7 linked regions of the Canis lupus familiaris genome follow. The protein of the gene in region 1 interacts with the protein of each later gene in a pairwise test. Links are inferred from orthologs where the notes say so. Each region holds a gene or a part of one and is shown in the gene's direction. Other genes may lie near its edges.

Region 1 (4,060 bases):
GTTTATCCTATCTCTGGGCTAGAGAACCCCTGAAACTACGTAGGAATGAGACCTCCCTGCAAAACGAGAGCACCTACCTACTGCCAATCTCTTAAATTCAATATATCCAAGGTCAGCTACCCTAACCTCAGCCATAACCCCCATAAAACTAACCCTAATCCCTAATATTAACCCTGACCCTAATTTGGTTCCTGTTTCCCAACACTGGCTTTGACATTCATCCCTTTCCTGGCAGACACCCGTCCCCAATCCTTGATCCCTAATATTGATCTACTTTTTACCTCTAGGAATGAATTTCCTGACCTTAACTCTAAATGTTGATCTCTAAGCCTAAAACTGTTGTCTCACTTGACTTCTGATCCATCCCTTCGCGATTTATCCCTAGTTCCATGCTAATGTTCTCTAATCCCTAAAAAACTGGACTTCTAATTTAAATCCTGTGTTGACCCTTAAACCGGCCCTGAACCCTAACTTTGACTTACGTTGGCCAGAAACAGAATAATGACCTAATCCAAACTCTACCTACATAAAACGGACCCGACTCACACTGGTAACTCTAAATGTCAACTCCGGTTTTTAACTCCGTAAGCTAACCTTTAATTCCTAAACCCAACTCTACCTAATTCCCAAACTCACCCCCAGCTTTCCTACCCGCATACTCACTATCAGCTAACCTCAAAGCCGATCCCCGCCCTGCGCCTCACTGTCACCCAACTCCTCACCCTCCCCAAAACTTATTCCAGACAGAGAGGACTTGATCCCAGGAAAGGCTTGGCTCCCTTAAAACGACCTACTTAACTTCCGATCCCAAGCCGAGATACACTGGACGCTGACCTCTCCAACAGGACCCGAAACAGCGGACGCAAGGGCCCCGCCCGCCCTGCCACCCGCGCTGCCACCCGCGCTCGCGCTCGCTTCCCGGTCCTGGCCGTGCGGCCCCACCCTGAGGCTCCGGCTCGGCCCGGTCCGGCCTACCTGCGCTGCCCGGCTCGTGCCCCGCCCGCCGGCCCGATAACCCGCTCGCTCTCCCGGTGGTAATCGGGCTTCGGCCTCGCCCTCCCTTCGACACTCTCTCGGCCACTTCCGTCCCCGGAACGTCCCCCACCCGCGGGCGGCGCCCTGGGCCCGCGCTCTATGGTTGTGGGGGCAACAGGAAGCTGCTCTGGCCCCAGCTCTCGATGCTCGGGAGCCGGCCTTAAAAAGGCGCCCCCCCCCGCCCCCCGGCCGGCTCCCCCGGCAGGAAACAAGGGTGCGGCGCAATCCGGGAAGACGCCCGAACTGCGCGCGAGTTCCCCTTTGGTCTCTAACCCTTCCTTTTTTTTCAGCCTGGGGCCGAGGCGGAGGCGGCCTCCCAGATTGCCCGCCCTCAGGGTGTGAGGAGGCCGCAGGGACGTCCCCTCTATTTGCAGAGCTCCCGGGACGTGGCGCGCCGCGGCTAGGCCACTTCCGCGTCGGAGGGAACTCCAAATCCCGTGGTGCCTCGGGGGTGTGCGCGTCACTTCCGTGGTGTTGGAAGTTGCGGAGAATCGGGTCTTGGGGGCTGGTGCAATTTCAGAGCGACAGGTCCGGGCTTGCGGATAGGTCTCTCTGTACATCTTTCCGGTTGTTATCCGGTATGGAGCTGGCGTTGGACTTGGGTGACCAGGACCTGCTGGATTTCCTGCTAGAGGAAAGCGGCGATTTGGGGGCCGGGCCGCCGCTTTCCGAGGTGGGTGGGGGCTGCGAGCCGGGGAGGCGCGGGGATCCCGGGAGAGCGTTCATGGGGTGGTGGGTAGTTGATAGGTCAAGGCTTGTTTATTTGAACCCTGTGCAGGCGTTGAGTGAATGGGAGGCAGAGGATTTCCTGAGTTCCATGCTGAGTCCCCCAGCATCGTTGAACGTCCTTAGCTCCTCTGATTCCTGTCTCGTGCACCATGATCACACCTACTCTCTCTCACAACAGCATGTTTCCATAGATCTAGGTGAGTCTGAAATATGATGAGGAAGAAAGTGAGGTTTGAGGGGAGGAGAGGCTTCGTGGGTCTGGCTATTTATACTTTTCGTTTTGCAGATGGTGGGAGCTATGGAAAAGAAGAGGCCCAGACGACCCCACTGCAAGTGGAGGAGCCCGCAGAGCAGGTACTTGATTTATGGCGGGATCATTCCCACATTGCGCGGGTGGGGGCGGATTCCCCATTCCTTTCTGTCATCCCCTTGCAACTCTGCTGCCCACCTCCTGGTAACTAATCCCAGGAGATTGCTAGGCTGATACTGACAGATGAAGAGAAGAGGCTGTTGGAGAAGGAGGGGCTTACTCTGCATGGGACGCTTCCTCTTACTAAGGTAAGACTCCCATTGGTGGGAGTGAAGGCTGGAGGGATGTGTTGTGGATCCCAAGTGTGCACTTCTGTTAACTTTATGTCAGGAAGGACTGAGGTTAGAAAACTTGGCAAATTTGTTGGTAATAGGAAGCTGGAGCATGATGTTAATATGGTGGATGCAGAGGCAGATCCTGGTTTTGTGGGGCTCATACAAGTTTTGGTGTTTTCTTTGAGAAGAATTCAAAATCATCGATGCAACATTAGTGTAGGGTCTTGGAAGGGACTGTGCAAGCAAACTCATGGTAATCCACCTGTAGCTAAATGGTTAGAGTTCATCAAGGCTGGACTAAGTAATATAGCAAGAATAATTGTAAAATCCCAAGTTTTAAGTTTCAGGCAATGAATAGCAGCTTCACAAGCACAGTATTGTGGTACTGTTGTGAAACCAACACTACAGGAAGGTTGAGAGAATTTTCTTAAAAGTACAAGATGGGTTAGTTTGAGATGACAGAGAGTGGGGTTTGAAGGCTGTATCAGTAGAGGTGTTGCCTCTAGAAGGGCAGTGACCATCTTCTTCTCCATTATACTGGCCAGAGCACATCTTAGTGTCTAGTTTTGAACCCAGATCTTTGACAGATATTAAGAGGATGCAGTCCATCCCGAAGAGAGGTGAGAAGTTAATTTTTTTTTTTTTAAGATTTTACTTATTTATTCATGAGAGACACACAGAGAGAGGCAGAGACACAGGCAGCGGGAGAAGCAGGCTCTATGCAGGGAGCCCGATATGGGACTTGATCCTGGGACTCCAGGATCGTGCCCTGGGCTGAAGGGAGGTACTAACCTGCTGAGCCACCCAGGCATCCCGAGAAGTTAAAATTTTTGCCCAGATCTTTTAACTCTGAAGAAATGTTAAATGGCTTAAATTAAAGACTGTTCATTCTGGGATCCCTGGGTGGCTCAGCAGTTTAGCACCTGCCTTCAGCCCAGAGCGTGATCCTGCAGACCCGGGATCGAGACCCACAGCAGGCTCCCTGCGTGGAGCCTGCTTCTCTCACTGCCTGTGTCTCTGCCTCTCTCTCTCTGTGTGTGTGTCTCTCATGAATAAGTAATAAGATCTTAAAAAAAAAAACAAAAAAAAAACCTTCATTCTATATGGTCTCAGAGATAGGTACCAGGTAAGTTCAATTGATAGAAATCATAGAGGCAGATGTCGGTTAGCTTAGGATAAGGAAAATTTAAAGATTTTTTTTTAAAGGTTTATTTATTTTAAATCTTTTTTTTTTTATTTTTATTTATTTATGATAGTCACAGAGAGAGAGAGAGAGAGAGGGGCAAAGACAGAGGCAGAGGAAGAATCAGGCTCCATGCACCGGGAGCCCGATGTGGGATTCAATCCCAGGTCTCCAGGATTGCGCCCTGGGCCAAAGGCAGGCGCCAAACCGCTGCGCCACCTAGGGATCCCGGTTTCCTTATTTTAAAGAGAGATTGTGCTTGTGCATGCAAGCAGCAGGGTGGGGCAGAAAGCAAGGGAGAGAGAATGAAAATCTCAAGTGGACTCCCTGTTAATCACAAAGCCCAACGCGGCACTCCATCCCATGATCCTGAGATCATGACCTGAGCTGAAGTCAAATCAGGAGTCAGACTCCTAACCAACTGAGCCACCCAGGTGCCCCAAGATTTTTTGTTTTGTTTTTATTTTTAAAGATTTTATTTATTTATTCATGAGAGACACAGAGAGAGACAGAGACATAGGCAGAAGG
Region 2 (3,177 bases), on another chromosome or scaffold:
AAGGTTCAAAAGGTATGTCCTTCTCAGCCCGTGTTGAGCCCCCTGCTGGGCCCTGCTCGTCTCGAGGCCCAGCGCGGAGATCCGGATCCGGGTTCATCCCCTGGTGTTGGCAAGCGTTCGCCCGAGGCCCCAGACTGCCCGTCGCGTCCTCACTACGCGCCCCCGGGGCCTGCACAGTCGTGGCCGGACCCCGCGGGGACCTGGCTTCCTGAGGAGAGGCGCCCCGTGGGTCTGCGCCTTGTGACGGGAGGATGTCGGGGGCCTGGAGCCTGTAGCATCCTGAGGGCCGTCCTGACTGCCAAGGCCCAGGAGCGACGTGCGGGGAGGAGAGCTGCTGGCCGTAGCCGGGGTCTCCACTGGCCTCTGCAGGGCCTTGGGGAGCTGTGGGCCTGGCGGCATCGGCGGGCAGGCTCGGGCCCGATGCCAGGGAGGTGCCCCTGTGCAGTCGCCCCCCGCAGGCTCTCAGAGCCACCCGGGGGCTGGACCGAGGGGACAGTGGCAGCGCAGGAGGCCGTGAGGCCACGGAGGGGTAGGCCTGCGGGCGGCTGTCCAGGCTTCCCTGGGCCGCGCGATTCACGCTTCTTCCTGCGGGGGGCGCCCCGCGAGACCTGGGCCAGGGGCGGGTGGACACCTGTTTGCAGGCCGGTGCAGGTGGGCGGGGGTCCCATGCAGGGCGGCCCTGGCTCCTGGCCCGCCGAGCCCTGCTCCCCAAGAGGCGGCGACGAGCAGGCAGTGCCGCACACGCGTCCCTGTGACAGGGAGGCGTAGCAGTTACAGAAATAGCCCTGCAGCTGGTGCCCTGCCCCCGAGACCAGAGCTCGTGCTTCTCTGGGGTTCCCGTAGCGGCGGCCCTGGGGTGGGCCCAGGCCTGAGCCCCGGTGCAGAGAACCCTGTCCGCAGACCCACTCGCGTCCCCGGCCCCCCGCGCGCTCCCCCACCCCCTGTCCTGGGAGGCCTGTCCTGCGAGCTCTCGGCCCACCACAGTGTGACCGGCGATGCCCCGGGGACTGAGCATCCTGGGGGGTGGCATCCCCCGTGGGAGGCTCCGGGGCTGCCCTGAGCAGTAAGAGGCCCACTTTTCAAAGTGTGCTCTGGGCCCCGATAGAGGGCAGGAGATCTTTAGTCCTGTGAAGTCCAGAACCTTCCAGTGTAGGGAGGTAGAGACCCTGGGGCTTGCGGGTCAAGGCGGGACCTCGGGTGATGCCTCCTTGGTTGGGAGAGGCCCCTAGACGCCCGGCGGCTTCATCATTCTGCCTCATGCCAGGATTTGATGTGTTCCCCCCACCCCCCACCCCCGCCCCAGCACAGGGAGCATAAGGCCTCCCACCCCCACCCTCCCACCCCCACCGGTGAGGGCCTAGGGCATGCAAGTTCTTCAGGACGCCCCTCCCCTCGCCCTTCCCGGGGTGAGCGGCTGCCTGCCCTGCTTGCCTGCGGGGTTTGCAGCCGGCCCTGGTGCCTCCACCAGCCGCCACGAGCCACTAGATGGAGTGCAAGGATCAGCGGCGGGCGGCCTGGGCGGAGAGAGGCCATCTGAGGCCCAGCCCACAGGCCCTGCAGCCCTGACGGCGTGTTCTCCTTCCTTCCTCCGCCAGGTTCTGAAGACAGCCCACCCAAGCACCCAGGCAACCACGAGAGCCACTCTTCCAGAAGAAGGAATCGGCATTCCAAGTCGAAAGTCACCAACGGACTTGGAAAGAAATGAAGGAGCCTGGTTCACGTGGACGTCCCGGAGAGTGCCTAGAACTGGGAGGGTGGACAGGTGGTGTGGCCCTCCCTGTGCCGAGGGCAAAGAGGTGGTGCCATCCGGACGAGCACAGGGGCCTGGGGTCATCACTGGACAGCGTGAGTCTTGTTTCCCGCAGACCTGGTCACGCCCGGCAGGTCCTCGCCTGGGATCCTTTGCCAATGCGGGGTCTCGTCCAGCTTCGGCACTTGGCATGTGGTCCCTGGTAGGGGCGCAGAGCTCCGCGGGAAGGGACGGCCCTGGCGCCCAGCTGTCCGGCCCACAGCGTGCGTGGGTGTCCTGTGGTTGCGGGTCGTCGGCACACCTTCCTTCCAATGTTCAAGCTGGTGACGGGTTTTTGTTGTTAGGGACCTGCCTCTCCCATCCCGCGGATTGGTTTCGGGTCAGGCTGCTGTTCTGTCTCGTGTTATCGTCGTGCTTCTTTGGTTTTAAGTGAGAGGCCACTGCTGAAGCTGCACTGGGGAGGGCGCGCCCCTCGCCTGCAGATGAGACGGGGAGAGTGTGTTCCCTCCAGCACATGCCCCCCTCCTTAGGACGCGGTGGGTGGAAACCCATGTGAGGACAAGTCAGCCCCCCACCCAGGACCCCAGGCTTCAGATCAGAACCTTTCTCGTCCGTTCCAAATGTCGTTTGTCCCGACGTGTCCACAGCGCGCAGAAGTGAACCTGCTGCAGAGGCAGCGCCCGCCATGGCTCCTCTCCCAGCCAGGTGCCTTTGACATTCTGTTTTCCTTCCTGGTGTGTGGCTGACATTGTCCTTTAGTCCCATGTCAGGTGCTGGTGAGTATTACCTTTCACGTGTGCCATGCTCTAGAACCTTTGCCCTGGTAGTTCACCACCTCGGATGGATTCCTGTTTTAAATAAAATAACTCACGTTAAAGTCCATCAAAGATGAGTCTCTGCAGAATGCTCATTTCTTTGCATCTTACTGGTACTTTCCACCACCTGTCAGCAGTCACTGTCCTGTTCAGGTGACCTCAGGGTAATCCGCATGCCTACATGCTTTATGAGGCAAGAAGGAGGGAGGCAGGTATTTCAGGGGGCTCACGGACGCGCGCCCTATTTCCTCAGCTCCCCGAGTGACCAGTAGGAGGCGAACAAGATCGTCCTTGTGTTTTCACGTGGCTGCATGAACCCAGTGGGATTTTCCCCTCCTACAAACGGCCAGTACTCAGCTGATTAGCAGACGGACAGAAACTGGCTGAAGGAGATCCTCTTGTTCCTTCACAGAGCAGAGTTCTCCATGTCTTTCCCCCCAAAACAACACCTTTCACCTAGGACTGTCATGTTTTTCTTTTCCTGCATAGGAATTCCGGGGTAAAGGGGTTAAATGAATCCTGCAGAGCTGGGGTCACACGCTGCACCCCTGGGCCTGCTCTGACCGCTGGGTTCAGAGCCTCGTGCAGACCTGCTCCAGCAGCCGGGCGCAT
Region 3 (3,985 bases), about 2.5 Mb from region 1:
CTACCAACAATATAATTACCTAAAACAGTTTAAGATTCTTTTTTGGCAGTTCCTTTTTCTCTGAGGTGTCTCTCTCTATACAGATGTATAGTAATTTGATGGATTAAACTAATTGAAATGGTGTGTGTTCTGGAGGTTATGCCATGTAGCAGATCAGTTAGATTCATGTATTTTTACTTTTGATTTCTAGAGGAGATTTTGTAAATTTAATTGTTTTATAATAAAATGTTTACATTGCTTTAGACTAAATCGATTACATAGGATATATTCAGAGACGCCTACCTTCTATCCCTGTCTCCTCTCTCCTATTCCCTTTCCTCCCCTACTGGTAGCATTTTAAAACAAAACAATAGTTTCCTTCCTTTTATTTTTAAAATATAAGCAAACATATATGTATATTTAGTATTACTACCACTCTTCTCTTTTGGGATAAAAGGTAGCATACTATATACACTTCCCTCCACTTAGTTTTCTTTCACTGAATATATTCTAGAGATCATTCCACGGTTGCATATAGAGCACCTCATTCCAGTGTTGCACCATAATTCATTCAACCAGTCCACTATTGAGGAATTTGGGGATAATCTCCAGCATTTGATTGTAAATAGTGCTTCAGTGAATATGCCTGCATATTCTTTTCATATTTTTACCACCGTATCTTTGGGATAGAGTCCTCGACGCGGGATTGCTGGGTCAAAGCATGAATGTGCCAAATTCTGTTAGACATTTAGCTACTCTTTCTGCCTCCGCCGTCCAGATGAGGGAGCGGACTGAGACTGCCCAAGGTCACTTTACTAGTTACTCACACAGCTGGGGGCGTAAACTTGGAAGTACCGTCCTCCGCATTCTCCAGGTCGGGGGAAGAGGAGCACCAAGGCGGGCGAGGGGCTGAAGAATCTGCATTTGGACCTCACATTCATCGGATCACACCCTCGTCCTCCCAGGGCCGAGCACGCCACTCCGACCTGGGACCTCCCCTGCTTCCTTCTTCCGGTCACGCGGCCTCGCCTTCTCCCACAGCTAAGACGCGCCGCCACCCGGCTCGCGGGTAATCGCCGCGGAGACACTGCGCAAGCCCAGCCGCCGCGCGCAGATTGCAGCCGGGGCAGGGGCAGCGGCAGGGGCAGGAGCGTGGTGACGTCATAATGGCGCGCCGCTCCCGGCGTCCTCGCAAGGTCGCCTCGGAGCGGGGCTGGCTGCGCGCCTAAGTGACCTGACGCTGGCCGGGGACGCGCCCGGTCCTGCCTTGGTGCCGGCGGCGACATGGCGGGGTACACGCCAGACGAGAAGCTTCGTCTGCAGCAGCTCCAACAGCTGAGAAGGCGATGGCTAAAGGACCAGGAGCTGAGCCCCCGGGAGCCGGTGCTGCCCCCGCAGCGGGTGTGGCCTATGGAGAAATTTTGGAATAAGTTTTTGCGGGACCAGACCCCCTGGAAGAACGTGGTGAGTGAGGGGCCTCCCCGGCGCTGATGCTCGCGCCCTGCTGCGACCCCCAGCCTGGCTGCTGGGCGCCTCCTGCCCGTTGTGGCCACACCAGGGACTGACATCACTCTGGGCCGGCAAGGCCAGGCGGTTCCTTGGAGGAGAACCAGGTTCAACCGGGACTTAGGCTTAGCAGGTTCGCTAACTTGTCCCGAGAGTCCTGGGCTGGAAGCTCTGGAGTTCAGGAGCACTTGGAGCTTTGGCAGAGTCCTGCCCTGTCGCTGTCAAGTGTGACGAGAAGGAGGCGACTCTTTTTTTTTTTTTTCCCCCATTTGTTTTTATGGAAGTTCAATTTGCCAACAGAGTATAACACCCAGTGCTCATCCCATCAAGTGCCCCCCTCAGTGCCGTCACCCAGCCACCCCCGCCCCCCGCCCACCTCACACACCCTAGGTTCGTTTCCCAGAGTTAGGAGTCTCTCATGGTTTGTCTCCCTCTAATTTTTCCCACACAGTTCCCCTCCTTTCCCTTATAATCCCTTTCGCTATTTCTCATATTCCCCATATGAGTGACACCATATAATGTTTGTCCTTCTCCGATTGGCCTACTTCACTCAGCATAACACCCTCCACTTCCATCCACATTGAAGCAAATGGTGGGTTTTCGTTGTTTCTAATGGCTGAGGAATATTCCATTGTATACATAAACCACATCTTTATCCATCATTTTTCGATGGACACCGAGGCTCCTTCCACAGTTTGGCTATTGTGGACATTGCTGCTAGAAACATCGGGGTCCAGGTGTCCCGTTGTTTCACTGCATCTGCATCTTTGGGGTAAATCCCCAGCAGTGCAATTGCTGGGTCGTAGGGCAGGTCTATTTTTAACTCTTTGAGGAACCTCCACACAGTTTTCCAGAGTGGCTGCACCAGTTCACATTCCCACCAACAGTGTAAGAGGGTTCCCCTTTCTCCACATCCTCTCCAACATTCGTGGTTTCCTGCCTTGTTAATTTTCCCCATTCTCACTGGTGTGAGGTGGTATCTCATTGTGGTTTTGATTTGTGTTTCCCTGATGGCAAGTGATGCAGAGCATTTTCTCATGTGCTTGTTGGCCATGTCTATGTCTTCCTCTGTGAGATTTCTCCTCATGTCTTTTGCCCATTTCATGATTGGATTGTTTGTTTCTTGGGTGTTGAGTTTAATAAGTTCTTTATAGATTTTGGATACTAGCCCTTTATCTGATATGTCATTTGCAAATATCTTCTCCGATTCTGTAGGTTGTCTTTTAGTTTTGTTGGCTGTTTCTTTTGCTGTGCAGAAGCTTTTTATTAAGTCCCAATAATTCATTTTTGCTTTTGTTTCCCTTGCCTTCATAGGTGTATCTTGCAAGAAGTTGCTGTGGCCAGGTTCAAAAAGGGTGTTGCCTGTGTTCTTCTCTAGGACTTTAATGGATTCTTGTCTCACATTTAGATCTTTCATTCATTTTGAGTTTATCTTTGTGTATGGTGTAGGAGAATGGTCTGGTTTCATTCTTCTGCACGTGGCTGTCCAATTTTCTCAGCACCATTTATTGAAGAGACTGTCCTTTTTCCAGTGGATATTCTTAAAGAGGCAAATCTTTGCTTAGGTTTTGCAGAATGATAGAAGGATTCACTTGAGTGAAAATTCTGTAACTTTAGTTATTTAAGAACACCTATCTGCTTTTTAAGGTTGAGGTTATAGAGGATAACACTACACTCAACTACTAGAAGACACAAGGAGCCTCTAACTGGTCATCTAACCCCATGTGATCACCATAAAAGATGGTGGTATGCTTAATGAGTAATATTCAAGAACCACCTTTCTGAACTACCACTATGTACTTTTAACACACTGTTTAATTTAAAAGTGACATTTCTGGGCTTTACACTACAGAAAGTCACTCATTTAAGAGCTGTCTTTATTTTCAGGGTCTCTGGACATTTTCTTAGGTCATTAAATTACATCAATTTAAGTGATGAACACTCTTATCTCAAAATTGCTTTCAACAAGCCACGACATTGACTAATATAATAATGGTAGTGACACTATTAAGTAACACTTGAGTACTTACTTTCTGCCCTGCATTTTGCTGAGGGTGTGACATGTGTTACTTTATTTAATTCTTTACTTCTGTAAGGTAGAAACTACTCCAAATCCTTAATTTAAATGTGTAGTAGAAAATGAGACCTACAAAAATTGAGTGATTTATTGGTGGTCACAGAGTTAGGAGTTGAAGGAGTTCACATTGAGATCCAAGTGTATCTACTTTCTTACTGTGCTACCAAGTCTTGTGCAAATTTTTCTGAGAAAGTGGTATTAGATACTTATTTATGGTGGTAAAATTAAACTCTAATTCAACTTTGCTGTCACCTTTTGTATCCCTGACATTATCCCTGACATTGTTGATTTTGGCAGCTACTGGTTGAAAGTGGACATCCCACCCAACAGCCAGTGGTATAAGGAAGTAAATAATTATTTTAGTCTGTTTTTCCATACTTTGAGTTAATTTTCCTTCTATAATCATATATACTATAGCACCTA
Region 4 (3,543 bases), about 32 Mb from region 1:
AAAAGAAGAAATGGACCCATTCATATTTTGCAGGAAATGCAGACTCACTTGCTTTGAGGGACCAAATGAATTAACAAAAAGTGAGTCAGGCTGGGTGATGGGGCCATTGTAAGCCAGGGATTATGGGTCTCATCTAAATCCATTCCCATTCATAACTTTTAGAGAAAACCTATCTGTAGGCAGATTTGTGCCATAAGCATACAGTGTTTTCCTGAAATTTTCAGCTTCTTTATATGTCCATTAAATGTTATACGACATGACTTTAATGGCTGTACGGTAAAGTCATGCAGATATAGTATAAAACTGGTCAAGGGGATCCCTGGGTGGCGCAGCAGTTTAGCGCCTGCCTTTGGCCCAGGGCGCGATCCTGGAGACTCGGGATCGAATCCCACGTCGGGCTCCCGGTGCATGGAGCCTGCTTCTCCCTCTGCCTATGTCTCTGCCTCTCTCTCTCTTTCTGTGTGACTATCATAAATAAATTTAAAAAAAAATTTAAAAAAAAAAACAAAAAAAACTGGTCAAGTTAGTGGATGTGGGGTTTGTAAATTATCAGCAATTGTGCATATACATCTTTATGCCTTGCCTTTGATTATTTTTCTTAGTTTAAATCCCTAGAAGTGGTATTTGGAAGTCAGAGTATGAAATTTTTCAAAGTTTAACTGTGCTTAATGTCTTTGACTATGCTGGTATTTTTCTATGCTCTAACATTTTCCTCTCAGCAGGAGATGGTCAGGCAGGCATGTTTGCGGGCCCTCCTGACTCCAGCCTGGGGCTCAGTCTCCTGAACTCAGTGACTCTTCTCCCCGAGTTGGGAGTTCTGATTAACTTCAGACTAGTTGTCTCTGGCTGAGGCAGTTCAGCCCATGTGGCCAGACTGGGCTGGGCTTGGCTGGGGGCAGGGTGGCCTCTGGGGAGGGATTGGTGAGTTCAGCCAGGCTGGAACTGTGCCCAGTGAGCTCACCGCCTCCAGAAGCCATGGCTGCCTTTCCCAGCCCCCTGTCTTCCAGCCTGGGGCTGTAGCTCAGAACTGGCTGTTCTGCGGGCAGGCATTGCACTGCAGTAGAATAAGCCTGCCTTCCGGGATGACCTTCCGCTCCCTGGTCTTGCTTTCCACCACCAGCTCCCCCCCCTCCCCCCGCCCCCTCAGCCCCCGTCAACATCTGGTTCTTTTAGAAAACCTTATAATTAACAGAAGGCAGACAGGACTGGCCCAGAGAGCAATAGGTTGTTTTTACCTCCGACTTGAGATGAAGGGGGACTTGCTGACGGTGTGGCTTTTTCTGGGGGCATGTTTTCTTTTTCCTGAATTCCAGACTCTTTAGAATCCCTGACTGTGCAGCCAGGAGAAAAGCAGGATTACAGCTTCTTGGTGCCTGGGTTTGGCATGGTTTGAAGTGGGTGTTTGAGCCTGAGGTCCTGAGAGTAGGTGGCTGTGGGTGCTGCTGCCCTGAGGAAGAGGCCAGGAAAGAAGGGGCCATGGCATTCCCCTCCCAATTCTTAGTTCACAGTCAGAATTAAAACCCCTGAATCAGTTTGAGAGGGCCTGGCCTCCACCTGGAGTCCTGAGATTATAAGAGTGCATGTCTTGCTTCAGAGCCAGGGCTTGGAGTCCTCGAACAGCCTCCTTGGATATTTCTTTGGTCAGGGACTAGCCTAGGTTCCAGGCTATGGTCTTGAGCACTACATTCAGAGAGCTCATGCCTTTTGAATTCATTGCAGATTTGAGTAGTAGGAGTCCTCTTGAGAGCAAGAACAAGAGCTAGTGTGATCTCTCACGGTACCATGCTAGGGCTTGAGCAGCCCACCTCAGTGCTTGTTCTGGCCAGATGGTCCCCTAGTCCTTAATTTGGGTGGTGGAGACAGCACCAGATCCCCTCTGAGACTGTCATCATTACCTTTCTGGATGATAAGTGCCAGTGGTCAATAATGAGTGTCTAGCTAGGTTCCCTGAGTTAATCACCTCTGTCACTTGGGCTTCTTGACCTGGAATGTGGGCCGGATGGTCTGTTTTTTCTGGCCCTCTGCCCCCTGCAATGATCCTGGATCAAGGTTTTCCATGTGATTCATTTTCCATTAAGTGATCAACAGATCTTCCCTGAGTCCTTTTCAATTACCATTTCTGTCCTCTGTCCCTTCTATCTCCTCCAGATCTGACTGAGCACTTTGGAGCCAAGACTCTCAGACCTGCTAACCAGTTTGTGGGGCCATCTTTGTTCAATTCCAAATGAGTAGTACAGGCATTCCGTACAGTGAGGAGGAAGAAAGAGATCTCCATGGACTGGAGTCATCAGGGAGGGCTTCTTGGAGGAAGGGGAAACAGCCTTTGAGGGAAGGGGCAGGGAGAAACTGTCCCGTGGATACCTTTCTGATCCCAGGTGGAATTGTGCCCTTGGATCAAGGGTAACTTCCTGTTCTCACTCTCATTTGGAAGGTTTTATTGCCAACCTCTCTGTGCAGCGGCAGTTCTTCCCCACGGACGAGGACGAAATGGGAGCCGCCAAGGCCCTGATGAGACTTCAGGACACATACAAGCTGGATCCAGACACAATTTCCAAAGGGCAACTTCCAGGTACCTTAACCACCTCAGGCTTTGCCCATCCATGCATGTGTGTCTCCTATGGCGTCTGGATAGGGCTGGAGCCACTGCCATCTTGTGGTCTCTACCCTCAGGCACACCATCACTGTTGGCAGTGATGCTCTTTTGGGTTTCCAGTTGGTGCCAGGTCCGTCTTCCCCCACCCCCTACCGCCCCATGACAGCCATCTCCCCTCAGCTCCTTCCTCTTCCTCTCACACCTTCTCCTTTCTCTTCTAAGAGAAGCCCAAGGCTGCTGTTCAGGACGTCCTGGCCTCTGCCCCCAGAGCACCACTTAGATCTGCTTCTAGACCTGCTTCTGTCCCCACACCCTCTGACTTCTTTTTGACAAAGGCTGATCTCTGGATTTAGCCCTGTGTCCTGTGTGTCCTCAGTTATAAGCCTATACCCATTTCATTCTTGGCCTACCCCACTTGGCTCTTCCCCCTGAGCTCACACACACCCTGGGTTCTTATTCATCTTACAAACCCCTCCCTCAGGATCCAAGGCCCTTTGAGTCTCTGCTGTTCAATGATCTCTTGCTTAGCCTAACCTGGCTAGGCTGCTGGATAGTCATCCACATGCTCTTCACTTCCTTGCTTCCCGAGTCCTCCTGAACACGCAGAGTCTGGCCTCTTTGCCCACTTTCCAATGATCCTGCCTCTGCCAAGTCACCAGTGGCCACTCAGCTGCTAAGCCAGTGGATGAGTTTCAGGGATAATGTTCTTTAATTTTTCAGTAGTATTTGGCACCTTCATTGTTCCGGTCTTCCTGATGTTCTCTCTCCTTTGAATTCTGGGGCACTGATCTCTATTGCTTCTCTTTTTGGCTTTCTACTATCTTTTTTAAATTTATTTTTATTTATTTTTTAAACAGGCCCCTTTCTCCTCATTGCCTCAGTATGCTTACAAGAAGATATATTGGGTTTGGGGGACTGTTAGAGGCCACTAAACCCAGTGGTTCAGTTAG
Region 5 (4,225 bases), on another chromosome or scaffold:
CACCTCTGTCCTTCTGGAGTCCAGGGGCTCCCTCTCTGTGGCTCATTCTCCTGGCACTGCTTTACTCGTCTCTCTGCAGATCTCCGACCGCCTCCGCCGGAGCTGGCCCCCCTCCTTCTTGTCCGAGTTCCGTGCCCTGCAGTTCTCGCTGATGCTCTGCGCCTTCGTGGGGGCCCTGGGTGGGGCAGCCTTCTTGGGCACTGCCATCTTCATCGAGGGCGACCGCCGGCGGGCCCAGCTGCACGTGCAGGGTCAGTGGGGCCTTCCCTTTGTCCGCCCGTGGCTCCTTGCCGACTTCAGGATACTGCCTGCTTGTCCATCTGTCCCAGCCCGTGTCCCTGGCTTCCCTGAGCCCACAGCCCTTCCCTCATTCGGCTTTGGGTCTGCCTGGCCAACGAACTGATATCCCACTGTGCTCATGGCTCTGGTGGGTCTGCTGGCCCTGTCCACTTTCCACTGCCTTTCTGTCCCCTCCCTGTTTTTGTGTCTTTTTGTTTATCCAGCCCTGGCTCTGACCCCTCCCTCGGCAGGTCTGCTGCGTGAGGCTGGACCTGCAGATGACCGAATTGTGGTACCCCAGCGAGGCCGCTCCACCCGGGTCCCTGTGTCCAGTGTGCTTATCTGAGGGACCATCGCACACCAACCTGCATACGTACCGCAGCTGGCCCCAGGCCCACCCCAGAAGGTGCCCAGGCGCAAACCCTCGGCCTGGCCTGGCTTCTAGGAGTGGCTGTGGGCCATGTTCCGGCTCCCACACACTACACAGGCAGCAGCCAAGGGCAGGGTGGGGAGGTTCTGGGGGGTCTGGGAGGGGGACTCCCCTCCCCTGGAGCAGCCCCAGGGGCTCGGTGCTATTTGTAACTGAATAAAATTTGTAGCCAGACCCTGAGTGCCTGCCTGAGTCTCTGTGGGTGTTACTGACCTCTGGTTGTCTGCAGGGGATGCCCCTACTCTGGCCCCAGGACTCCTGGGGCTATGGGGTCACTTGTGTGGGACCTTGGGCAAATCCCTGCCCTCCTGGGCCGGGTGAAAAAGAGTGCGGAGTGAAGTAGCTCAGTGTGACTGTGAGTCACGCCCATGGTTCCCCTCGAGCCTGCCCCTCTTGGTAGGCCAGCCAGGGTAAGGTAGGGTGGGTACTGCCCCGTGCCCCTTGATTCCCAGCGTCCGGGCCTCCCTCCTGGCTGCCCCCTTGAGTCCTGGCTGTGGACGCCATGGCTGTCGGGTGGCCTGTAACTATCTTGCCCTCCTTCCCTGGTAGGAATAGCTCTTTGTCCCGGAGGCCAGCAGACCCCTCCTGAGGACCCAGGGGTGGCTCCAAAGGCCTCTTCCTCCCCCTCCCCGCTGGCTGGGTGGGGGTGGGAAGGGGGCGGGGGCAGCCGGCTGAGCCCGATGATTTCCTGCCCTCACCCGGGGCTCACCACAGCTTCCTGCCACAGGCGGGCAGGCTCTGAGAGGCAGGCGCCTAGCCGAGGGGCAGGTAGGGCTGGGGCGCGGGGGCCGCTCAGGGGTGACTGGCGCCCCAGACTCCGGCCCAGACCCTGGTCGGTCTGCCCTGGGATCACGGGTCTTCCCTAGGCAGTGCCGACCCCTGCGAGGCCCGGCAAGGGGCAGGGGGTCCAAGGAGTGCCCAAGGAGGGCACAGCCGGCCCGCAGTCAGGCTTCCAGGCTGGTGCCCACTGGGTTCCCGCACCCGTGCTGGCCCAGCTCACACCCTGCCGCAGCTCAGCGTGCTGGGCGGCAGGCAGCCAGGCCTGGTCCAAGCTCTGCTGCAGATGGAGGCCGTCGTCCTGATCCCCTATATGCTGGGCCTCCTGTTGCTGCCCCTCTTGGCCGTAGTGCTGTGCGTGCGCTGCCGAGAGCTGCCAGGTGAGTGCGGGCTGCCGGGTAACACCGCTCTCAGGACATGCCTTCGGGGATCTTCGGCCCTCCTTGACCCCCTTGCTCTATCCTACCTCTGTCCTGCGTGTGTGAGACCTGAGAGCCCTGCGCTCCCACCCTCTCCCCTCGCCACCCCTCTTCCTGCCTCACTGACTTCTCTTCCCCAGGCTCTTATGACAGCACCGCCTCTGATAGGTGAGTTGTCCATGGGCCCTGTGTGGCTCCCTCACTACCCTGTGTGACCCTGGGGGCTGGGATGGGAGCTGGGGCCTCTCCTGCCCCTGACCAAGCTCTGTCTCTCTTGCCAGCTTGACCCCAAGTAGCATTGTGATCAAAAGACCTCGTGAGTACCTGGAGGGTCCCCTCCCTTGGGTGTAGGAGAGAGGGTCCCTGGCGCATGAGAGATTGTGTGCCTTTGTTCAGGTCCCCCCTCCTGCCTTCCCTCCACCGTGGCTGCCCACATGGCTTTGACCTGATCTGGGACTAGGGAGGGAGATGGGTGTCCTCGGGCCTGTCCAGGGCACAGGAGGTTTCATGGGGCTAGTCTATCCTTTGAGGCCTCAATGAGAGTAGGGGCAAGATGTCTGGAGTCACTCCTTGTGCTTGGTCCTGTGTCCTCAGCTACAGTTGTGCCCTGGCCATCGGCCCCATCCTATGGGCCTGTTACCTCTTACCCACCCTTGAGCCAGCCGGACCTGCTTCCCATCCCGTAAGTAGCATCCTCCCCCTTCACAACGCCCTCTTTACCCGGCTCACCTCTGTAGATTGGGGGTCCCCTTCCCTGTGACAATCCGCTTGTCCCAGAGCCCCACCCCAGCATAACCTGTGACCTTTGACTCCCAGGAGGTCCCCACAGCCCCCCGGGGGCTCCCACCGCATGCCATCTTCCCGGCAGGACTCAGATGGTGGTAAGTGTGGAGCCGGGCTCAGACGGCTGGGGCTGGGCAGAGGCGAGACCCCCTCTGAGCTGACTGTCTCCCTCTTGCTCTCTCTCCGAAGCCAACAGTGTGGCGAGCTACGAGAACGAGGGTGCGTCTGGGGCCCCGGGGGCCCTGGTTGCAGGGAGGCTGGGGCCTGGCCTGCGCCCTGATCGCTGTGTCGTTACCCCAGAGCACCTCTCCTGCGAGGACAACGACGAGGACGAGGAGGAGGAGTATCACAACGAGGGCTACTTGTGAGTGGCCTGGTGGGCGGGCTGGTGGGGACCCTGGCCGGAGGGGGGTCCTCACTCACCGCCCCTCGACTCCCCCTCAGGGAGGTGCTTCCTGACAGCACGCCAGCCACCGGCACTGCGGTCCCACCGGCTCCGGTGCCCAGCAACCCCAGCCTCCGAGACAGCGCCTTCTCCAGTGAGTTCCCGGGCGACTGTCCCTGTGGCCGCCCCTCCGCAGTCTCTCCTCTCTCTAGGACGCCTGTCCCTCAGGGTGCACTTCCACTCCGACCTCCTGATTTCCTTTCCTTCCCATCCTCTTTCCTTCTTCGTGGTCTTTCCCTTTTATTGTTTGCGACCTTTCTCTGATTCACTCTTCTTCTGGCCTCTGTTCTTCGGTCTCTCCCACCCGGAGGCTCTCTCTTGGCCTCTGTTCCTTTCTCATGGAGGCCACATCATCTTGTAAATCTTATAGGTTGTCTTCTTCGGCAGGGGCTTTGGGAAGTTTTCTTCTGCTTCCGGCATCGTTTCGGTTTCCTCTGAGCTGCTTTTCTCCCTTCGCGTGGGTCTCACGCTGCCTGTTGGAGGCTTCCTCCCGCGCCTGGCGAGCTTAGCTTTCCAGCCCTGTCCTCATTCTCCAAACCTGTTCGGCCCATCCGGTGCCATTTGCCAACTCAATCGCCAACTCGCCATCTGTGCCAGGGCTTCTTTTCCTTCATTTGTTCATCCCCTGTCCTTCCCTCCTTCACCATATTTACTGGGCGCCTCTGATCAAACAGCTCAAGAGGCGGCGTCAGGATGAGGCCTAGTGTTGTCGGGAGCCTACTCCCTGCCTCCTGAGTGTCTGGTGCACTAACTTATTAAACGTCACGGTTCCCAGGTGCTGTTGAGCCCACGTCTCCCCATCCTGCGCCTCGGTTGTCCCGACTGTACGACACGAGGGGTTATTTATTTAACGGGCCCTCGGCGGCACTTGCCGTAGGACAGGCCCTGTTTCCATATTCTCTGCGTTAGTTCTCATGACACCCCTGGGAGGGGGTGCTGCTGCTCACCCTCTTACACTGGGGGGAACAGCGAGGCCCAGAGAGGTTAGGGACCTCTTGTGAGGTTGCACGACTGTGAGCGCTGGCGCCGGGCGTGAACCTGGGCGCTCTGGCTCCAGAGCCCGCCTTGTCCACGGCCTCGTGGAGGAGCAAG
Region 6 (4,229 bases), on another chromosome or scaffold:
TTCAGTTCCTTTAATCTATTTCCCAAATGAGGAAGTAGAACTAGATTTTCTGTAAGTCCTCCTCCAGCTTTTTTCGTTTGTTTTTTTTTTATACTTTATAGCTGAAACTATTGCCTTATAGAAGCTGAAATACTTTATCTGAGCAAATAATGCTTTCTAAAAGTTTAAGAATATTGAAAAAAGGGATTTCACATAAAAATCTGAATTTCCGAAAGTCTGCAATCAGTGCTAACTGAATCATGCTGCCTTTATTTTTTTAAAGATTTTATTTATTTATTCAGGAGAGACACAGAGAGAAAGGGGCAGAGACACAGGCGGAGGGAGAAGCAGGCTCCATGCAGGGAGCCTGATGCGGGACTCAATCCCAGGTCTCCAGGATCACACCGTGGGTGGTGCTAAACTGCTGAGCCACCCAGGCTGTCCTCCTGTTTCCTTTAGAAGGAATGAATTTCTTTTGCTTGGCCAGCAGACCCACTCTATTGCCCCCCTTTTAGAAGCAGAATAAAGGTGGCTGTCTATTAAAACACTTGTACTGCAGTTTACTTCAGGAAAGATGTGAAATAGGAAATATTTCTGGTTCCCCTTTTTTCTGTTAAAAACAGAACAATTAAAAACAAACTGAGAGACCCTTGTGTTTCTTATTCCTGTCTGACCTCACTCTCTTAGGCACATATGTATGTACACTACTAAACAACCTAGAGTTGGCTCAGATGGTACCAACTCAAGACATTTCGTTTTGATTTTTTTCACCTAAGTGCATCTGGACATTTCATGTCCTGATGATCCTTTCAGAATAATAGTGTTGCCTTAATACAGGCAAAGGCCAACCCATTCTATCTTCTAATTAATTTGCTGAGTATTTCTTTCACCCAATGCAACTGATGCATTTATCTAACAATTACATTATGTTTTAATAGTTACCAGTAGAACATTCTCTGCTTTTTTCAAACCCTGCTGAAACAACACTCTACCCTTCAAGGATGCTTGGAACGACGTGCATGTGCTATGAAAACTAGTCTACTAAATGGGCACACGAAGGTGACTCTTCACTTATGCTGTCTTTGTTCCTGCTAGCATTGCTTATTTGCGTTACCATTTTTTAATGGAGCTGTGGATACGTTCCACTGCAGAGTAAGGACAGGCTGGGCAGGCCCTGATGGGGCAGGCTGAAGGCGTGAGCCTGGGGGGGCCGCCATCACCCGATCAGCGCAGCTGCTCTCCATTCCCTCCTCTGGTTTTTTGCCGTCTGTAAGGCTAGGCCTCGAAAAACACCTCCTTTGCAAATTTTTTTTGGTCCCCCGCCCCCATTCCTTAGCCCAGACTCGGAGGGGGCGGGGCAGAATGGTTGTCACTCAAGCCCATTGGCCAACGAGAGGGGGACGAGCCCCTCCTCCTCCCCAGAGCCGGGTCGCGGGCATGCGCACTGGGCGTCCCAGTGCCACCGCCCATCAGCTGAGAACCGTAGCTGGGGGTCGGGTGCCGGTGGGTGCGGCTGGCCCGAGGAGGAGGAGGCGGCGCGGAGGAGCCGGGGTAAGAGCAGCCTGGGGGGCGGGGGGTCGGATCCCGCGTTCTTGAGGCACTAAGTCCCCGCGGCGGCCGCGCCTCCTCGTCTGTGCGCGTTGCCAGTTGGCCGCCGCCTTACGCTTTGCGGCTGTGGTCGGGAGCCCGGGGGGGCGGGCGCTGCCCAAACCGGGAGCGCCGCCGCGGTCCGCGCCCCGGCCCATCCCGCCCCCCCCCCGGCGCATCCCGCCCGCCCCGGCCCATCCCGCCGGCCCCGCGCCCGCCGATCCCGCGAGCGCTGGCTCCGGTGCCCCCGCGGGTTGCGCGCCCCGGGGCGGGGCCGGCTGGGGCGGAGCTCGGGAGTCCTGCTGCTGCTGCCCGGAGCGGGTCACCGAGCGGTCGCTTCCTCTTTACGACGCATGGAGTTAGAAAACACATTTTAAAGCTCTCTTCCCTAACACAGAGGAACTGAAACTGGATGGCTCGAGAGTAAAGGAACCGTGTAACATCTGTCCCTTCGGAGGCTCCTTGCGGTTGGTTTTCTGTCTGGCTTCAAGACACGCTACCTTTTCTTTGATCTCAGTGTATGTCATTAATGATTTACCCAAAACCTTTAAGAATGTGTAAAGTATTTCAAGATCCGCCTCTCCTCCCCCCACCCCACCCCCCCTTATTGTGTTTTAGGCTGTTGCTTTTTAAAAATTCAGACACAAAGAAAAATACCTTTCTGGTCAAATGCTATATATTTTTTCCCTCTCCGGTTTCGTGTATTTGCTTGGCTTTCCTATAGATACATTGATTTTTTTGTTTGATTTAGATCAGTGTCTTTTGGCTATGACTATATATAATTTAAAACTTTCACAGAATCTGGAAGAAAATGATTCTGAAGGGCTCTGTTGTTGAGTAATGTTGCAGGTGGACATTTTTTCAGGAGCCTTAGCCTCACCCGGGCAGGGCAGGGGCTTGTAGCAGTGTTCAGCCGTGTCTTGGGATGTGGACCGCCTTGCATTGAAGGCCGCTTTGGGAAGTTTGTCTCAGACGGTGACTAATTAAGAATTATGGTCTAGTTTCAGACTTTCCATAGATGTTAAAATGATACCACAGTACCTCCGAATGTCTGCATCATTTTCCTTCAGATGTTTTACTTCTGCTGCTCCCAGTGGTAGAGTTATATCCTCATTTTAGTTAGGATATCAAACTTTAGCCAAGATCTAAGGATGGAAAAATAAATATATAAAACATCTGCAGTAAGTCTGAGTAAAGTTTGCTGCGATTCCATTTAATTTTAAAGTTTAGTGTATGGAAGGGTGAAAAGTAACCCTTGGTATTGTGAGTAAAACCAAATAGTATAAAAATTTAACAGATGGGGATGCTGAGCTAAAGAATTCGGTTAATTTGGTTTAGATAGAGAACACTCATGTCTATCATGGAATGATCGTCTCCCCATTCATGGAACATCCACTATGCGCCTTATACTGTGGACTCTGCAAGGTTGACAAGGTTGTCTTGTGTTTATATCACCAAAGTAGGAATAGAAGGCAATTTACTACCTAGATCATTTTAGAGTGGTGAGTAGCATGATGATAAAGGAAGTTAGATCAACAGAGAGTGCCGGGGTGGTAACTTCTCATTGCAGATCCGAAGTCACCAAAGACTTACCTAGCATGCCATGAGACTTTGCTTGTATAAAGGTGCCAGTCATGTGAAGATCATGGGAAGAGCCTTCCAGGGATAGGAAATGGCACTCAGCAAAGGCCCTAAGGCAATAATAAGCCCAGTACATTTAGGATCTGAAAGAAGACACTGGAATGTAGTGTCTGAGGATTGGTAATGTTTATTCTCAGACTAGGTTTGTGTTCTTAGGAAATAGACACATTTATTCATTCAGTCTTCAGATATTTGTTAAACACCTATTACATAACCCAGTACTTAGACTAATGTAGCACACAGACAAAACCTTGCTCTTCTGGGTACTTATATTTTGGGGTAAGGGGTAGAGTTAAGTCCATTGTTTTATGCCAGTACACACTATTAAGAAGGTGAAACTGACTATTTCTATTGCTCTATCCATGCTTGATTTATAGAGCATGAGATTTATGTTTAATGAGAGTCTTAGGATTCTGCAGTGTGTACAGTAGTAGTACCTGGGAGTAGTGCTTGACACAACTTTTCACAGTTTTCTTTGTTCTTTTATTTGTGCTCTACAGAAAGTCTTGAGAATATCCTTGTTATGAGTATTGCCCTTTTTTTTTTTGTTTTTTGTTTTTGTTTTTTTTATTTATGATAGTCACAGAGAGAGAGAGAGAGAGAGGCAGAGACACAGGCAGAGGGAGAAGCAGGCTCCATGCACCGAGAGCCCGACGTGGGATCCCGGGTCTCCAGGATCACACCCTGGGCCAAAGGCAGGCGCCAAACCGCTGCGCCACCCAGGGATCCCCGAGTATTGCCCTTTGATCCTCTCTTTCTTTCTTTCCCTTTACAGTGCTTATATATTTTCATAGAAATGTAATTGTTAAGATGTTTACATAAGCACTATTCAGTAGAACTTTATGCTGTGATGGAAATGTTTTACATGAACTATACAAATCATTGGCCTCACATGTGATTTTTGAATACTTGATAGAGCAGGTATGGATAATGAGTTATGTTATTCTGAGCAATAAAACTAGGAATTCTGAATGAGCTTTCAAAAATATTCGTCAAGAGTGCTTAAAGCTTGTTATATCTGG
Region 7 (3,543 bases), on another chromosome or scaffold:
AAAGGTTTTCAGCATTTCCACCACCTCCATGGCCCAAACCCTCCCGGGGCCATGCACCGTTTTACAGTTGTGTCCGTTGTTTAGGAACTGACCTGTTCTTCCAAATGTTTTTGCTAATTGCATTTTCTTTTTTGAAAATGGTCTAATTTACTTTTTACCTATTAATGGGAGACATTCATTAATGGCATCTTACTGTTTTACGTTGCAAGTTCCTACATTTCCTGCAGTGAAGATTTTTTAATCCTTTGTTATATTTCCTGCAAATATTTTTTCAGCTGGTTTGCCTTTGTTTTGACAGAAGATTTTCCTCTGTGCTCTTCTTGTGTGTGTGTCATTTCTATTATGCTTTTACTTAGAGATTTTATAACCACAGTAAAACCTCACGATCACTTACTTGTCTGTTCTGGATAGAAAGTCAGGTGGAATTCGACTGGCCAGTCTGGTGGCCCAGTCTGACCTTCTTTGTGTACAGGGTGTGTGAGGGCAGGTGGGGCTGCTGGGGAGGCAGCCTGGCCCAGGGAAGCGACAGGACGGAGTGCTGGTCCTCTGGTTCACCCTAGCCACTGCCCCTGGTCTGGGAATCCCAGCCAGCGTGTGGAGTCAGCCCTAGAGACATTGGAGCCCGAGTGGACACCTGCCACCAAGTGGCACCAGACTGTGGTCAGGGGACAAGATGGAGCCAGGGCTGCTCCTGCTGGGAACCTTGCAACTAGGAAGCCCCACGCCTTCTGCAGCTTAAGCTCTGGGATCTTTCTTAGTGAGACGGGGCTGGCTTTTCTGCAGCATGAAGAGCTACCATATGTTTGGTGCTGATGTTGCTGATCCGGGCATTGTGTTGTGTAGTTAACAGGGAGGAGTTCAGGAACTTGCCAGTCGCTAAGCCAGTAGAGGGTGAACTGTTTTAGGAACAGGGAGGGTGGATTGTCCCAGGGTTGTTTCACCCTTTGTGTGCCACAGACCCTTTCAAAGATCTGATGAAGGCTTTATGTCCTCTCCCCAGAAAATACAGAGAATTGTGCGGACAGGTGCATGGGTGTTTCTGAAGCCTGCTGGTGAACCTATGTCCAGACTGATTTCTAGGGACCCTTCTTGTACCTGGCTGTCTGGGAAGGGGGCCGGGGTTGGTCTGGGGAGCCTGGAGGTGGGGTGGCAGCTTCAGGATGGGGGTACCCCCTTGACCTCTGCCTCTCTCCTAGGATGGCCATCATTCCCATTGTCATCAGCCTGACCCTAACCACGCTGCTGGGCAACGCCATTGCATTTGCCACCGGGGTACTGTACGGGCTGTCTGCTCTGGGCAAAAAGTACGTATGTTTTTCCCAGCCCCTGGGAGGAATCTGAAGTCTCTCAGGGAGGAAGGTCAGAGACAGGCCCCCCTTAGCCGTTTGCGGAAACTGAGGCACAGAGGTTGTCAGTGACTTTTGTCAGTGTTCCCAGGGTGTTCAGCTCTAGGGAATGAGAGCGAGAGGGTTCATGGGCTTCTGGTGGCCCGGCTGTACCTTGCCGCAGCTGATAGTGGGGATGGCAAGTCTGGCTTGGGGGAGCTTCTTCCTCTGCCCTCAGAATCAAGACTGCAACTCTCAGTCCTTCTCCACCCACCATCCCAGGCAGCCTGTGCCACTCTTAGAGGTGATATGTGTGCCATCGTAGCAACAGGGTCTCTGGGGAAACCAGAGGCCCAGTAGTCTCTTCTGCAGGTCATGCTTTGGTCACAGGCCAGGAATCTGGTGGTGGCTGGGAGGGCTGTGTGCCTGGGGTCTGTCCTCACTGTGATGTGGACTCGTTCTCTCCCAGGGGTGATGCAATCTCCTATGCCAGGATCCAGCAGCAGAAGCAGCAGGCAGATGAGGAGAAACTCACGGACACCCTGGAGGGGGAGCTGTAATGTGAGCTTCCCGCTCGCCCTCTGGTTCTGTGTGGACACATCCTGCAAGGACAAGGCCTGGAGCATTGACCCCGAAGGACAGCCTGGAAGAGGAGGAGCCCCTGCCTGGCTCCCAGCAGTCCCTGTACGCCTGTCCCTACACCTGGAGTCCTCTTCTGTCTTTTCCTCTCTATAGCTTGGTATCTCCTGGCCCTGGACCGCAGCCAGCAGCAAGGAGACTGGCAGGGACAGCAGGTAGCCTCAGGGGTGACCCAGGCCACAGGACTGGAGGAAGGGCCTGCAGTAGCTATGCAGACAGCCCATCTGGCTCCACTTCTCACAGCTGGCCTGGCTTGGCCAGAAACAGACTGCTGTGCACATTTCCAGAATTACAGCACTAGCAGAACCACCGGGGATCTGCTGAAGGCTTGGGAGGAACTTCCCCTGGAGATGCTGGGCCTGTGCTCAGATGGGAGGCACGTCAACCCGGGCCTGGGCATTGGTCAGAGGGAGCCTCCTCTTGGCTCTCCAGGCAGGAACATACCCTGTAGGTTGAGCCACCTGGGCCCCCTCTGTTCACCTGCCATTGGGACAGAGCTGTGCCCTGCTGCCCAGGGTCTCTTACCACTGCCCAGGCCCCTCCCGATCTCTCTCTTCTCTGTGGAAGCCCACAGCACTCCCAGGATGCTCCTCGAGTACCCAGAACAGCAGCTTTGGCAGCGGGTAGACAGTTGGGTACTTGTCTCAGTTCCCTGGAACCTTGGACAGGCCATTCCAGGGACTTCTCACGGGCCTGGCCCATGCTCCCAGGTTCTCCCCGTAACCCCCAGGGCCTTGGTGCTAAGCAGCTGGGGAGGGCAGGCTCTCCTCTGTCCCATGGGGCTCTTTGTCCGCCTGTCTGATGCGGTCCTGCCATGTTAGCCGTGGCCCAAACCCGGTTATTAGGGCTAAGCTTGACCCACCAGCATTCCTGCTGGCCTGCCCCCTACCGTGCCCTCGGGGAGCTTCTTGCCTTTGAGAGCTGGGCAGAGACCACAGCTGCCTCCACCACCATAAGCTGTCCCCACTGCTCCAGGTGCCAGGCCATCAGGGAACAAGGCCTATGCAGAGGGCCCAAGGAAGCAGCCCTACCCGGGATGTGCGCCATCTACCCCGGCCACCCTCCATGCCGTCATTACTTGTGTCCCCTACGTGTGTCTGCCTTAGCCCGCTGCCGTTCTGCTCCCCAGACTGGCCCCCCAGCTGCTAGGCCCATCCAACGGGGCCTGGCCTAGCCCGGGGGGCACTGGGGAGAGACGGGCTGGTGTGGACAAGTCTCCCTCTGGGGCCCAGCTCCCGCCCATTCTTCCCCTAGGACCTGGCTGTGCCTGCTCACAGCTGGAGCTCAGCCCCAGCCCTGCTTTGTTGAAACCCCCCTCAGGCTGTGTCCTGATCTTTGCTTCCCAGAGGGAGCTCTCTGGGGGCTTGTCAGTGTTGGACAGTGAGAGCAGCAGTCACTGCCCTGGGGACATGTCAGAGGGCTTCTGGTCAGCAGAGGGCCCTGCTGCCTTCCAGAGCTGGCCAGGCTGAGCCCTGTGGTGGCCGGCCAGGTGGGACACGTGCCTTCAGGTGTCCGCTGGGACCACCTTCCTCAAACAAGCACTAGGTTCAAAGGGCTGTGAGCTCTAGACTCTCCAGGC

The links.
Region 2: the proteins of CREB3 (region 1) and PTDSS1 interact in a two-hybrid assay, tested with the Homo sapiens proteins (2 studies listed by BioGRID and IntAct). The two-hybrid records come from large-scale screens. The link is inferred for Canis lupus familiaris from reciprocal best matches to the Homo sapiens genes CREB3 and PTDSS1.
Region 3: the proteins of CREB3 (region 1) and NDUFB6 interact in a two-hybrid assay, tested with the Homo sapiens proteins (2 studies listed by BioGRID and IntAct). The two-hybrid records come from large-scale screens. The link is inferred for Canis lupus familiaris from reciprocal best matches to the Homo sapiens genes CREB3 and NDUFB6.
Region 4: the proteins of CREB3 (region 1) and P4HA2 interact in a two-hybrid assay, tested with the Homo sapiens proteins (2 studies listed by BioGRID and IntAct). The two-hybrid records come from large-scale screens. The link is inferred for Canis lupus familiaris from reciprocal best matches to the Homo sapiens genes CREB3 and P4HA2.
Region 5: the proteins of CREB3 (region 1) and LAT interact in a two-hybrid assay, tested with the Homo sapiens proteins (2 studies listed by BioGRID and IntAct). The two-hybrid records come from large-scale screens. The link is inferred for Canis lupus familiaris from reciprocal best matches to the Homo sapiens genes CREB3 and LAT.
Region 6: the proteins of CREB3 (region 1) and STX7 interact in a two-hybrid assay, tested with the Homo sapiens proteins (2 studies listed by BioGRID and IntAct). The two-hybrid records come from large-scale screens. The link is inferred for Canis lupus familiaris from reciprocal best matches to the Homo sapiens genes CREB3 and STX7.
Region 7: the proteins of CREB3 (region 1) and CACFD1 interact in a two-hybrid assay, tested with the Homo sapiens proteins (2 studies listed by BioGRID and IntAct). The two-hybrid records come from large-scale screens. The link is inferred for Canis lupus familiaris from reciprocal best matches to the Homo sapiens genes CREB3 and CACFD1.

What each region holds. Positions count from the first base shown.
Region 1 is NC_049232.1:52,554,025-52,558,084, forward strand, and holds the start of CREB3 (cyclic AMP-responsive element-binding protein 3), read left to right. Parts: upstream 1-1,219; 5' UTR 1,220-1,615; coding exon 1,616-1,708; intron 1,709-1,813; coding exon 1,814-1,961; intron 1,962-2,050; coding exon 2,051-2,118; intron 2,119-2,232; coding exon 2,233-2,322; intron 2,323-4,060. UniProt on the Homo sapiens protein: Endoplasmic reticulum (ER)-bound sequence-specific transcription factor that directly binds DNA and activates transcription. Plays a role in the unfolded protein response (UPR), promoting cell survival versus ER stress-induced apoptotic cell death.
Region 2 is NC_049250.1:41,482,691-41,485,867, forward strand, and holds the end of PTDSS1 (phosphatidylserine synthase 1), read left to right. Parts: coding exon 1-12; intron 13-1,595; coding exon 1,596-1,705; 3' UTR 1,706-2,637; downstream 2,638-3,177. UniProt on the Homo sapiens protein: Catalyzes a base-exchange reaction in which the polar head group of phosphatidylethanolamine (PE) or phosphatidylcholine (PC) is replaced by L-serine. Catalyzes mainly the conversion of phosphatidylcholine.
Region 3 is NC_049232.1:50,060,004-50,063,988, reverse strand, and holds the start of NDUFB6 (NADH dehydrogenase [ubiquinone] 1 beta subcomplex subunit 6), read left to right. Parts: upstream 1-1,149; 5' UTR 1,150-1,263; coding exon 1,264-1,443; intron 1,444-3,985.
Region 4 is NC_049232.1:20,528,435-20,531,977, reverse strand, and holds part of P4HA2 (prolyl 4-hydroxylase subunit alpha-2), read left to right. Parts: intron 1-2,431; coding exon 2,432-2,569; intron 2,570-3,543. UniProt on the Homo sapiens protein: Catalyzes the post-translational formation of 4-hydroxyproline in -Xaa-Pro-Gly- sequences in collagens and other proteins.
Region 5 is NC_049227.1:18,622,969-18,627,193, forward strand, and holds the start of LAT (linker for activation of T-cells family member 1), read left to right. Parts: upstream 1-1,413; 5' UTR 1,414-1,772; coding exon 1,773-1,866; intron 1,867-2,045; coding exon 2,046-2,073; intron 2,074-2,186; coding exon 2,187-2,221; intron 2,222-2,499; coding exon 2,500-2,587; intron 2,588-2,721; coding exon 2,722-2,786; intron 2,787-2,877; coding exon 2,878-3,052; intron 3,053-3,132; coding exon 3,133-3,227; intron 3,228-4,225. Other genes in the region: SPNS1 (protein spinster homolog 1), read left to right, coding at 80-251, 531-625. UniProt on the Homo sapiens protein: Required for TCR (T-cell antigen receptor)- and pre-TCR-mediated signaling, both in mature T-cells and during their development.
Region 6 is NC_049222.1:25,723,731-25,727,959, reverse strand, and holds the start of STX7 (syntaxin-7), read left to right. Parts: upstream 1-1,396; 5' UTR 1,397-1,530; intron 1,531-1,864; exon of another isoform or gene 1,865-2,084; intron 2,085-4,229. UniProt on the Homo sapiens protein: May be involved in protein trafficking from the plasma membrane to the early endosome (EE) as well as in homotypic fusion of endocytic organelles. Mediates the endocytic trafficking from early endosomes to late endosomes and lysosomes.
Region 7 is NC_049230.1:49,930,081-49,933,623, forward strand, and holds part of CACFD1 (calcium channel flower homolog), read left to right. Parts: intron 1-1,196; coding exon 1,197-1,304; intron 1,305-1,794; coding exon 1,795-1,885; 3' UTR 1,886-3,543. UniProt on the Homo sapiens protein: Transmembrane protein which mediates synaptic endocytosis and fitness-based cell culling.